Linked DNA regions of Kluyveromyces lactis. The protein of the gene in region 1 interacts with the protein of each later gene in a pairwise test. Links are inferred from orthologs where the notes say so. Each region holds a gene or a part of one and is shown on either strand. Other genes may lie near its edges.

Region 1 (4,322 bases):
GTTAACCTTGGCTTCCATGTCCTTCAAAGACATCGTCTTCTCTTGAATCTCTTTCTTCAAATCACTAATTTCCCTAATTAATTTATCTTTTTCGGAGTCTAAAGCACGCTCGTCATTCTTTACAACATCCAACTTATTCTTAAGTTCATTGACTGTAATCTCCAGCTTTTCTTTATCATGGGACAACTCTCTAAACTTATCTTCTGATAAATCGGAAGCATTTTTCGTCTTTTCTAATTCAAGGCGTAAATTATCAGCTTCTTTAGATAATTCGAGGTTTTCAGTTTCCAAAGAGTCTTTAATTGACAGAGTTTCATCCCATTTTTGTTGAATTTGAATTTGCTTTGTCTTGGTAGCCTCAAGAAGTTCTTGCGACTGTTGTAGTTCACTAGTTTCTTTTAACAATAATGCTTTAACTTTTTCTAACTCTTGTTCCACCAGCCTCTTTGCATCTACCATAACCGTCGTACTTTTTTCGCTCTCTGCTAGCTTGTTTTCGAGTTGTTTGACTTGTTCAGCTATTTTTTTAGTTTTCAAGATGGTATTCGAAGAGTCTAAAAGCGGTAGCAATTTCATGTATAAATTGTACCATGGATTTTCCATGAGCCTGTCATAGGTTTCAAAAGTTACCTTTAAGATCCTTGCAGCCTGTAATTTCTTAAGATGACTTCTGATTTCTTTCCTGACTGAATTAGCAGATATTATAGCATTTAACCTAGTAACAGCTGCACTCAAACGCTGTTCTTTCAGCAGTTCAAGGTTTGCTAATACACCAGCTTTGAAAAACAGCTTTGTGTTCCCGACCTTGTAAATTGTTGGATCCAGGTGAAGTGATGATAACAGTATTTCACAGTTCTTTTTGGAGTTGTTAGTGAATCTACACTCATCTGAAAGAATTTTGTATCTTTGGAAAAATTCCTTGAAGAATATTCTGTTGGGATAACCATCCCTAGCAATTCTTATTCCTTCAAGAACACCGTTACACCGTAATTGATCTAGAATAAGCTTCTTATCAAAATCACCTGCCTTTTTCTTGTTGTTTGGAATTATACAACGAACGAAATGGGGATCCGTATTGCCAAGCTGTTCAATGAGTGTATGGAGCTGTTCCCTATGTTTGTTAGATGATGTCCTAAAAGAACTGCCTCTAATGCGATCTGCGAAAAATTGTGATACCAGAGGGTTCGCACAATCATTGAGTACCTGCAATAAATTTTCATTTAAAGGATCTTTATTCTTTGATAGCCAATCAGTAACGTTGTATTCAACATCACCTGCATAATGCTTTAGTATAAAGCAGTTATCCAGCTTAGACCTTTTGAATTTAGTGGATTTATTATCCCAAGATGAAAGTAATTTCGAATAAAAAGAGGCATCTGAAGATTTTGGTAAGATCGATTCTTCTTCTAAAATCGGTAGTATACCTGGAATGCTGCTGTTTTTCTGTTCAATTAAATCAATTGTGGTTTGTAAGTCTTTGCCATAATCGATGAAATTCCATTGGATGTCTTCCTTTTGATATTCATTTTGTTCCAATACAAACATATGATGATTGAAAAACTGTTGTAATTTCTCATTTGTGTAATTGATACATAGTTGTTCGAAAGAATTATCTTTGAAAATTTCGAACCCAGCGATATCCAATAATCCAATAAAATATTCAGTCATCGATCCATGCTCTAAACTCTTGTTAATTTGATTTACAATATATTCGAAAAGCTTCTCATATAATGATCGGGATAAAGAGTTAAGAATTGACCTTGCCTGTGAGGCATTTTTGGCTTGTGATACCCATTCTTTACCAGCCTTTGATTTAGGTTTTAGAACAGCTGACTTGAAATCGTCTTCCTGAACTCCTAGAAGTTTACACAAGGGTTTGATATCATTTTTAATGCTGGCTTGTTCTGACCTCTCTGATACAAACTCAACGTTACCGATGTGCAATATGATAGAAATACATTTGAGAATGGATTGAATGTCATCCTTCGTAAATCCAACAGTTTCAAACGCGGATACAAGTTCCTGATAATTTTGACCATCGTCAATACCTGGAATTGATGGGTTGGAATGTCGTAGATACTGGTAATCAACGATGGAATTCGATTCTAATCCAATAGCCCGTAACTCTTGCTTCGACATGCCAGATAATATTTGATAAAAAATATGGTAGTTTCTTTCCCTGGCATGAGCTTGTATAACTCTTGATTTCTCCAATAGATACCATTCGATATGTGCTCCATTGATCTTACCATATTCGTCGAAATCGATCTTAATGAATTTACCAAAACGTGAGGAATTGTTATTGCGCACCGTTTGGGCGTTACCGAAGGATTCTAAAATTGGGTTTGATTGTAAGATTTTCCTTTCAAACGATTCGTTCGTCTGATTTAATAAAATCTTATCATCCGTCGTAATGGATGCCAAATATTGTAAGATTTTTTTTGTATTCTCTGTTTTACCAGCACCTGACTCACCGGTAACCAAGATCGATTGATCCTGCTTTTGATGCAAAAGATTCTGGTAAGCCTGTTCAGCGACAGCGAAGATATGCGGTTTATTATCCTCCTTCGGAGATCCATGGTATAATTTGATATAGCTGTTACTATATATCTTGATATTACTGTATGGGTTAATGGCCACTAAAAATAATCCTGAATAAGTGTAAATCAAATCATCTTGGTACCTGTTCTGTAAATTGAAAAGAACAGAAGCTTCATTAAGATGCGTCAATTCAGACAAGTCGTCCACTTTATCAAAGGTAGAAGGATTCACCGAGGCTACATCGTCTTCGGAAAACTCTGTTTCCTTACCATTCACACTAACCACAGCAACCGCTTGTTCCTGGCCTTGCTTATTCTTAACCACTTTCCGCTCTACCAATTGACCTTGAACAAAAACCTCTCGTTCATCAGATACCCATACTTTTTCCCTCTGTTGACTCATGTTTTCCTAACAGCCTCGTACCCAAATTGAGTTTACCTGTAATTTGGTCAATGAGGCTACGTTATTGGAACCAGAAGTCAATATCAATGCTCTTCAATTGAATTTATTCATGCAATTGAGACCGCTAGTGTTTGTTATTGATTCCAGTTGTTCTTGATGTTTATGTTTTTTTTTTGTTTACAAAACAATTAGAGATCAGAAAAGGGAATTGATACGTAAAGTAATTTGAGGTCACGTGGATTTTGTTTCATGAAGCCCATACACATGCTAAAAAGCTTATATGTGTAGTTGAACAGTATATACGTTGCTGTTTTTCATGCTTTTAGGTACTGGCCCTTGTTAATCCTGGGACAATGAATATAGTAGATGTGGCACGTCTGTGGCACGTCTGGGTCACTTAGTTATTCACTTTCCCGGTGTATTTTTCAACACCCATAATACGAATTAGGTTAAAATAGGTGAAAAATGTCAACTACTGAGAATTTATTCCTAGTCGTTATTGCACCTAGCCGTTCGAAAATAAGGTGTAGTCATCAATATAGTTTGTTGTTCGTTAGCATCATTGTATGTTTTTAGTGTTGTTGTGTGTTTCGCTTAGAGTTCCGTGTAGACGCAGGATTTTTCAGTTCTAAACGTCAATCAAGTATATGCTGGACATATATAAGATTGAAACTAGCTTGTGACAGTTAAAACGGTTCAACCTTTCAAGATGATGTTCGAAAGTACTGGTAACGATCGTGTTTCCTATGCGCACTTGAGCAGACGTGATATTATGGCACGTTATTTCAATCTTTCTGCACCAGTCGGCCATGCAGGTGTGCCGCTTCCGAAGCATGTGATTGCAAAACACGACGACAGCAATGTTGCAGATGATAATTACACCTCTGCTGTTAATAATACCACAAAGAATGATGAATTTATTCTTAGTGAAAAGATATTGAATTTACCCATTGAAATTAAGGTTAAAATTACCAATAATTTGAGCCAATATGACTTGGTGAATTTAGCATCGGTATCGAAATCTTTTTATGACGCGGCGATGTTTTCTTTGTACGAAAATATCGTGGTAGATACGTCATACTCTATATTGAACGATTCGTTGAGAACGGACAAGAATCAACGATGTACTTATATCAAGACGAAGTACAATTTAAAGAAGTTTATGAAATCGTTATCACAGGATGAAATACAAACTGCGTTCCCCTTAGGGATATTGGTAAAAAGTCTCAAAATATATTCTTTGCCCGATGGGGTCTCGAATATGGAAATTGTGAATTTCGTTCATAGATCCATCAATTCGTTGACGAGACTATCATGTTTGTATTGGGAAAGCGGGTCACGGAAATTGCCCTTGGACACATTACAATATTTACCCAATA
Region 2 (2,536 bases), on another chromosome or scaffold:
TAGCTAAAATATCACCAGAGATTTCCCTAAGCGATTCACACAAATAATTGGTCATTTCCTTGTGGAAAGATTGCGAATCATAATCTGGCTTCTTGTTCATGCTAGTCAACTGGGTTCTATTGACCTTCAAAGCAACATGCATGAGTTGAATAACCCTACTTGCACGATGGTTGTTTAAGTCTCCGGTGATGACTAACTCCCTGTAGATATTCATACTACTACTGACCGAATCCCAAAACAATGAAGATTGATCTAGGAATTTACCATCGGGGGCACGAGAGGAAGATGCTTCCAAACCTCTGGCCAAACAGTCATCCAAGGCATTAAGTTTAGAGAAAGCTGGAGAATTAGGAGAGTTTTTGAAATTATCGAATTTTATGTTTCTTCTTAGGTTGCGGACCTTTTTAACGTTACGTTCAATGATTTCATTATTTTCATACTTCTTCTTAGAGTTTCTCTTATCCGAAGACGACTTGGCTGGTGCTGCAGTTGTTGGATCCTGTTGAGGATTACGCTCTAGTGCGACAGCGCTGTTGAAACGGAACTGGGAATTTAAAGAATTTCTGGACGCAGAAACGAACTGATTTGGGACCCTACTCTTTAGGGTCTGTTGTTGGACAAGTCTAAACATGGTTTTAGACAATGGCAAAGAAGATGTTCTTTTTAACCGGAAAAAACACTAATAACGAACAGTTGATTAGCTCTGTGTATAATAATCAAAAGAATTTGTTAGTAATATGAACCAAAGACTTTTTTTATAGGTAAAAGTCTAAAATCTTGAATAGTGTTAGAGTTTAGGGAATATATATATATCCATCGCCTCTGAGGGAAACCCGAACCTATTGTAATCGGACATAGTAGTCACACATACCTTTTTTTTTACTGATGAACGAAGGAACACAATATAATGTTCAGAGTTTAAACGGTATACTGATCTGTGATATAGTACTGAGCTATAACAAAAGAAAACACAACAATGAAAATTATGTCTTAGTTAACAAAAGTGATACGACACTGAACGATAAAAAACTGTTATTGAGTATGTTAATAATCGCTTTTGTTATATAGGTCATATCAAAAAAGAAGCTTGAACACTTTTCATCGCTCGACAAGAAGACAAAAGAAAAAGTGTCATCAGATGTCAGGAACATTGGATGCTGAGGAAAAGAAACTGAACGAGGGAAGGTTGGAAATTTTCGAAATGCGATGTTGAATTGTGCGGGTAACAATATATTTGACTCACGTGATGGGTATTTAAAATCCGGGTAAATGATATCTGACTGAGTTTTAGGTCGTCCAAAAAAAGAGCTTTTGAGGCCCCAGAAACAATAATTTGTTTTCCATTTTGAAAAACGTAAACAATAAGAGTATCTTTACATTTGATATATTTACTGGAGGAAGGCATGCATTGTTCTACACATTCGAATAGATTTATATTTACCTTGGAGCTTTAAATAGTATCTACTTCTTGCTAGGCTAAGTGATACTGAATCGTGATTTAATTACGCAGTACTGTATTATTCATTGAAGAAGTGGGAAATCAATCATCATGTCCAGAATCAACAAAGATATTTTTACGCTATTTGACAAGCAAGCCAAGGGATCCATCAGTAAGGCCCAAGTTGGTGATTATTTGAGAGCAATTGGATACAATCCTACCAATGCGCTAGTGGAGGAAGTTGTCGCTTCTTCAGGTGACGAGTTGACCTTAGGTGATCTAGAAAAATTAGTTAAGGATAACGAAGAGAAGTTGGAGCAAACTACTCAAGGTAAAGTAGAGGATTTCATCAAAGCCTTTCAAGTTTTTGACAAGGATAATACTGGCAAGGTATCACCAGGTGATATTCGTTACCTATTGACCGGTCTAGGGGAAAGGTTAACTGACGAGGAAGTTGATGAATTGATGAAGGGGATCGAAATCGACTCTGACGGATTGATCGACTACAAGAAATTTGTTGAAGATGTATTGAGACAATAAGAGAGAGGATGTAATGCAACTCAAGATTACATGCATTAGTTAGTATAATACAAATATATATATAAATATAAATACCCAATCTCACACGCCAGGAGCTTTGCTCTTTTGTTCTATTCTAAGCAGTCCGATACTATTGACTTGTGACAGTTCTAGATTCAAAACCCAACGTCTTCTGGTAGGGTGAGAATTGGCATGAAGTTCCCTATTATCATCATAGGTAAACCAAAGGCGTCTCTTTTTAGCGTCCATAGACAACAACATTTAATAACGCTTCCCTTGATCGGGGTTAATAGATTACAAATTCGCATAGTTTCAGCACCTCTGAACCCCTGATATGCAACCCTAGTGAACGTTTGGAAGTACTCCATTACCGTATCACCATCCATCAATTCGACTATGAAGGTCATTTTGTTGAGTAGTTCTAGACGATTCCAGCCAGTCAATAGAGAAAACTCGTCATTCACATAACTGATCTGTCCGTTACGTCTCCATACACAAGTTGGGGTACCAACCTGAGAGATGAATTTCTCATACTCTAATAAAGTTCTCTGATGGCTC
Region 3 (4,077 bases), on another chromosome or scaffold:
TATTCGCCATGTTCATGAAAGCCATGTACCTGTTAGATTTTGCCTCATTAGATAAATAGATGTCATCTGTTAATGGGTCTTCTTCATTAACATTAAAAATGTTTTGGTCAACTGCGCTGTCAGCTGTCTTCGCGGTGTCATCAAATGACGTTAACTCCAGTTCAAACGGATTTGGTTCATTCTTCGATTGTTTATCAGACAGAGCTAGTTTTGCATACTTTTTATCAGCGGCTATCTGCATCTGTATTAATTATAATTCACAAAGTAGGCCATAAGCGGTTCAACTATCGTGCGCTCCGTTTGCTACTACAACCTTCTTACAGCCATATTGTTTTATCTAAGGCAAGAAGAAATACTTGCAATATATAAATTTGGTGCTTAGTCTTTTGGGTATGATAAGGATGACGAAATTTGACAAATCACGTGCATTGAAATGAAACTCTCTACATCAGGTATTTATTGTTACAAAGTATGCAAGGTAGGAGGAAAGATTGTGCATGACACTAGTTGACGACATCCTTTGCATCGTTAAAACTATCCTCTTCATCAGAATTATCCAAATTTTCAGGCTTTTCAGATTCGGGTTCAAGATCAGCGGACAGATCTTGATAAGTTTCCAATAAATCACTTGGCTCTTCAGATGATGCATGGGTATCATGAGCTGATTCGGCACTTTCTTTGTTATCATTTAATACTGTGGATGATTGTGAGGGCTGTCTTGAATGCTGTGGTTCAATTTTTTTGCTTTTTTTCTCTTCATTCTTTCCTTGTAAATCCGTGGCAGTCTTCTCATTAGTTTTCTCATTATGATCGCCAATATCATCCGATGATTGATCTGTGTGACGTATACCATTGACTGTTTCATCCACACTGATAGAGTTTGCGGTATCCGCTTCAAAATCGAAAGTTTCATCCTCCTCATGTGTTATAGGGACAGGGATATTGTTTGAGGCAATGCCTAGACCTTGTTCTTCTTCAAAACTTTTAGCTTTGGAAATATCTGTTGATGGGGCAATATCTGTAGCTACCGATTCGTCGAGAGACCATACGCCAATATGCGACCATTGTAAAGATGCTCGTAGTTGTGAAAGACGGGCCCATGACCTCTGGATATTGGTTGTTGGTAGTCCGTTTTTGTCGGCAAATTGTGGACCATTTTCTATGATAGGAGTTGAAGATTGCGATTGCTTTAATCCTTGGAAAATACTTAATCTTTTGGATTTCATTTTCGGCCTTGATGCTTTAGTTACCTCGGAGTAAGCATTGACCTTGCCTTGATGTATTGATGCCAAAGCTACTTTTTCTAGATGCCAAGCACCAGATCTCAATGATCTCAAAAATGCGAAAATTTCACAAACTTGTCTTAATTTCAACAAGCAGTAATGGCACACGGGAAATTGATTTGTTAACTCATTTTTACCATTTTCGAGCTTTTGATATGTTTTGAAGATATAAAGTCTTCCATGTTCAAGGATGTCGTTTCTATTTTCACCACAGAAAGCACATGGTTCTACCATAGCAACAGGCGGAGAATTCACCGGACGGCTAAACAAATGAGAATCTTTGTTTTCGACCTCTGGAGAGTCGGGAATACTTGGAGAACTATATCCTGTACGATATGTTTCATTTATTCCACTAATCGGCTCGATTGATACCAGTCCTTCCATCATTAAATTCATTAAATTTCTTTTTACAAGCCATCCTACTCCGGAGGCATTATCAAGTCGCAAGACGGGACTTATTTCATAGTTTATTAATCTCCTTAATAGTTTCGATTCCGAAGTGGTTTGTTGAAGGTTTTCGCATTGTGGTAGCACAGCAAGAAATTTCAAATATTCTGTGTATAGAGGAACGTCATACCTTAACGAATGCAGAAGAGGGGAAAATAACACGCCTTGAAACGACAATGAATTATCATTTACTGAGGTTAGGTTGGTGGTTGATCTATCAATTGATGTGGTAGAGGACGTCGCAGAATCTGAAAGTGAAACGTTCTTCGAAGAATTGAAATCATTTTCGAACTTGTAGAGTACGTTTTTGAGATTCTTTAACTGCATTGACAATGTATCAAGTAATAAATCCTTTTCTTTCAACTGCTCTTTGAGCTTCGAGTTTAATATTTCTACAGCATTTTGTTCTTTCCTTGCATCTGCTACCATGTTATTAGCCTCATCGAATAAAGAAGCGGTTAAGTCTTCAATTTCTTGGTTCAATGTAGCCACTTTCTTTTCGGCATCAGCACAAATTTCTTCCTGTTTCTTGAATTTTGTCTTATCGGTTTCGTATTGTAATTTCAAAGATTGTAGTTCCTGCTTCAATTCATTATATGAGTTCGCAATATTCTGCTGAGTGGAAATGGTTTTCTTAGCCACTAGTAACTGTTCTTCTAATTGGGATTGTTTATCAATGCTTTCGATTAATTGCGTAGATAAAGATGTCACTTGCAAAGATATGCGCTTTGACTCTTCTTGATCCGCCATTCTAAAAATAAGGCTACCGTCAGCTTTGCTTGTAGCAAGTACTTTCTGTTAGCAAAATCAGTGATTCATTTATTGAAGTAAATTACACAGGCGAGTATTTATGTATTTCATTAGTCCTCTGGTAATTTGGTTGATATATATTACATTCTTGATTTCATCAAACATTGGAACTAAATTCATTACCCGGTTTTAAAATGAAAATGTCAATTTCGGTATACGAATTATGTCTATGCAAGTATACACATATTGTAGTTATTAAATAAATGCTGAAATGAGTATTATGTAGTCTTTAAGCATCAATAAACTCATCTTCCGATGAGTTCGATGTGTCCATCAAATCTTGGGTTGGCGATAACGGTTTAGGATGAGGTCCAACTTCTAGGCTTCCAACAAATTGTAGTTTATTAGGTTGGTCTACTTTCACAGAAGAATCTTTTTTTTTCAGATCCCTAAGCTTGTCCTTTGCTTTGATTGGGGATGGAGAAGCGTCTTTTCTTTCGTCAGGGCCTCTTAATTCTAGTAATAAATTCCTTGCTCTATCTGCAGGGTCTTGTTTTGATGACGACAAGCTTTCAGTTTCAGGAAGGCTGGCCGATTTTTTAGCAGTAGGCGATTCGGTAAGCGTTCTATTTTGTTCCACGAAAGCTTCGATAGTACTATCAGCAGTGATGTTATCAAAAATTGATGCCCCGGATTTACCATCTAGTAATTTCTTTCTAGCCAATGCACGTTTACGAGTACTAGATGGATCTCCTTTTGAAGGAGCTGCATTTTTCAATTTATCCAAAAGCTTCTCTATATCGTCCCTATCATCAGACGGTTCTTGCGAAGTGCTTAAATTTTTTGCTGTTGCCTTACTATCTGCCTCCTGTTGTTTCCGTTGTTGATCTTCAATCATTTTCTTTCTCCTTTCGTAAGCACGTTCTTCTTCTTCCAGTTTGACATTATGAGTTTTAGCTTTCTTGAATTCGGTAATGAAATCTGCAAACTTTTGGAAGAAAGAGTTTTTAGAGAACTTGTCGTTGGCATCTTCGCCAAATTTCTTCATTAGATTTTCAAATTCCAGCAAACTTAATTTGATTTCATCGCTTAGAAGATCAGCTTTCTTTCTAGCTTCAGGTAAAACCGGTACTACCTTATTTAAAACACGATCTAACGGATGGAATTTAGAAGGGTCACTTAGGTTTCCAATTTCAATAGAACGCTCAACGTTAATTACTGACTGTGAAAATTCCTTACAATCAGTTACCAACTGTTCGATGGATATTTTTGTTACGCTAAAAATAGGCTCAAGCTCTTCCACGAAATGGCTGTATTCGGGATAATTTTCACGAATTATCTTTTCCACATAGTTCAAAAAAGTCATACTGTTCTTTTCATCTTTAATGAAGGTCAATCTTTGTAGGGTGCTTAGCTTGAACCCCTGAGCTTGCTTTGAAGAATCATTCATATAATTACCAACTGCCAAAATAACATCGAAAACATGTCTGAGACTTTCAGATTGTTCGATGCACTGAACTGCTCTATCAATTTTTCTTAGTTTAGTGACCAAATCCGAATAGTCTTTTTCATAAGTAGTTATCATAGTGATTGCTCT

What was found.
Region 2: the proteins of MYO1 (region 1) and MLC1 interact in binary tests that used the Saccharomyces cerevisiae proteins (3 or more experiments, as listed by UniProt). The link is inferred for Kluyveromyces lactis from reciprocal best matches to the Saccharomyces cerevisiae genes MYO1 and MLC1.
Region 3: the proteins of MYO1 (region 1) and SEC2 interact in a two-hybrid assay, tested with the Saccharomyces cerevisiae proteins (2 studies listed by BioGRID, with this or other methods). The link is inferred for Kluyveromyces lactis from reciprocal best matches to the Saccharomyces cerevisiae genes MYO1 and SEC2.

What each region holds. Positions count from the first base shown.
Region 1 is NC_006041.1:1,021,576-1,025,897, forward strand, and holds the start of MYO1 (myosin 1), read right to left. Parts: upstream 2,944-4,322; coding exon 1-2,943. Other genes in the region: KLLA0_E11617g (F-box protein), read left to right, coding at 3,653-4,322. UniProt on the Saccharomyces cerevisiae protein: Required for cell division.
Region 2 is NC_006042.1:962,125-964,660, reverse strand, and holds MLC1 (Mlc1p), read left to right. Parts: upstream 1-1,549; coding exon 1,550-1,978; downstream 1,979-2,536. Other genes in the region: KLLA0_F10461g (uncharacterized protein), read right to left, coding at 1-631; ERT1 (Ert1p), read right to left, coding at 2,134-2,536. UniProt on the Saccharomyces cerevisiae protein: Essential light chain for the class II conventional myosin MYO1. Also acts as light chain for the class V unconventional myosin MYO2 and for IQG1.
Region 3 is NC_006039.1:193,764-197,840, forward strand, and holds SEC2 (guanine nucleotide exchange factor SEC2), read right to left. Parts: upstream 2,481-4,077; coding exon 504-2,480; downstream 1-503. Other genes in the region: AVT2 (Avt2p), read right to left, coding at 1-241; formin BNI1, read right to left, coding at 2,770-4,077. UniProt on the Saccharomyces cerevisiae protein: Guanine nucleotide exchange factor for SEC4, catalyzing the dissociation of GDP from SEC4 and also potently promoting binding of GTP. Activation of SEC4 by SEC2 is needed for the directed transport of vesicles to sites of exocytosis.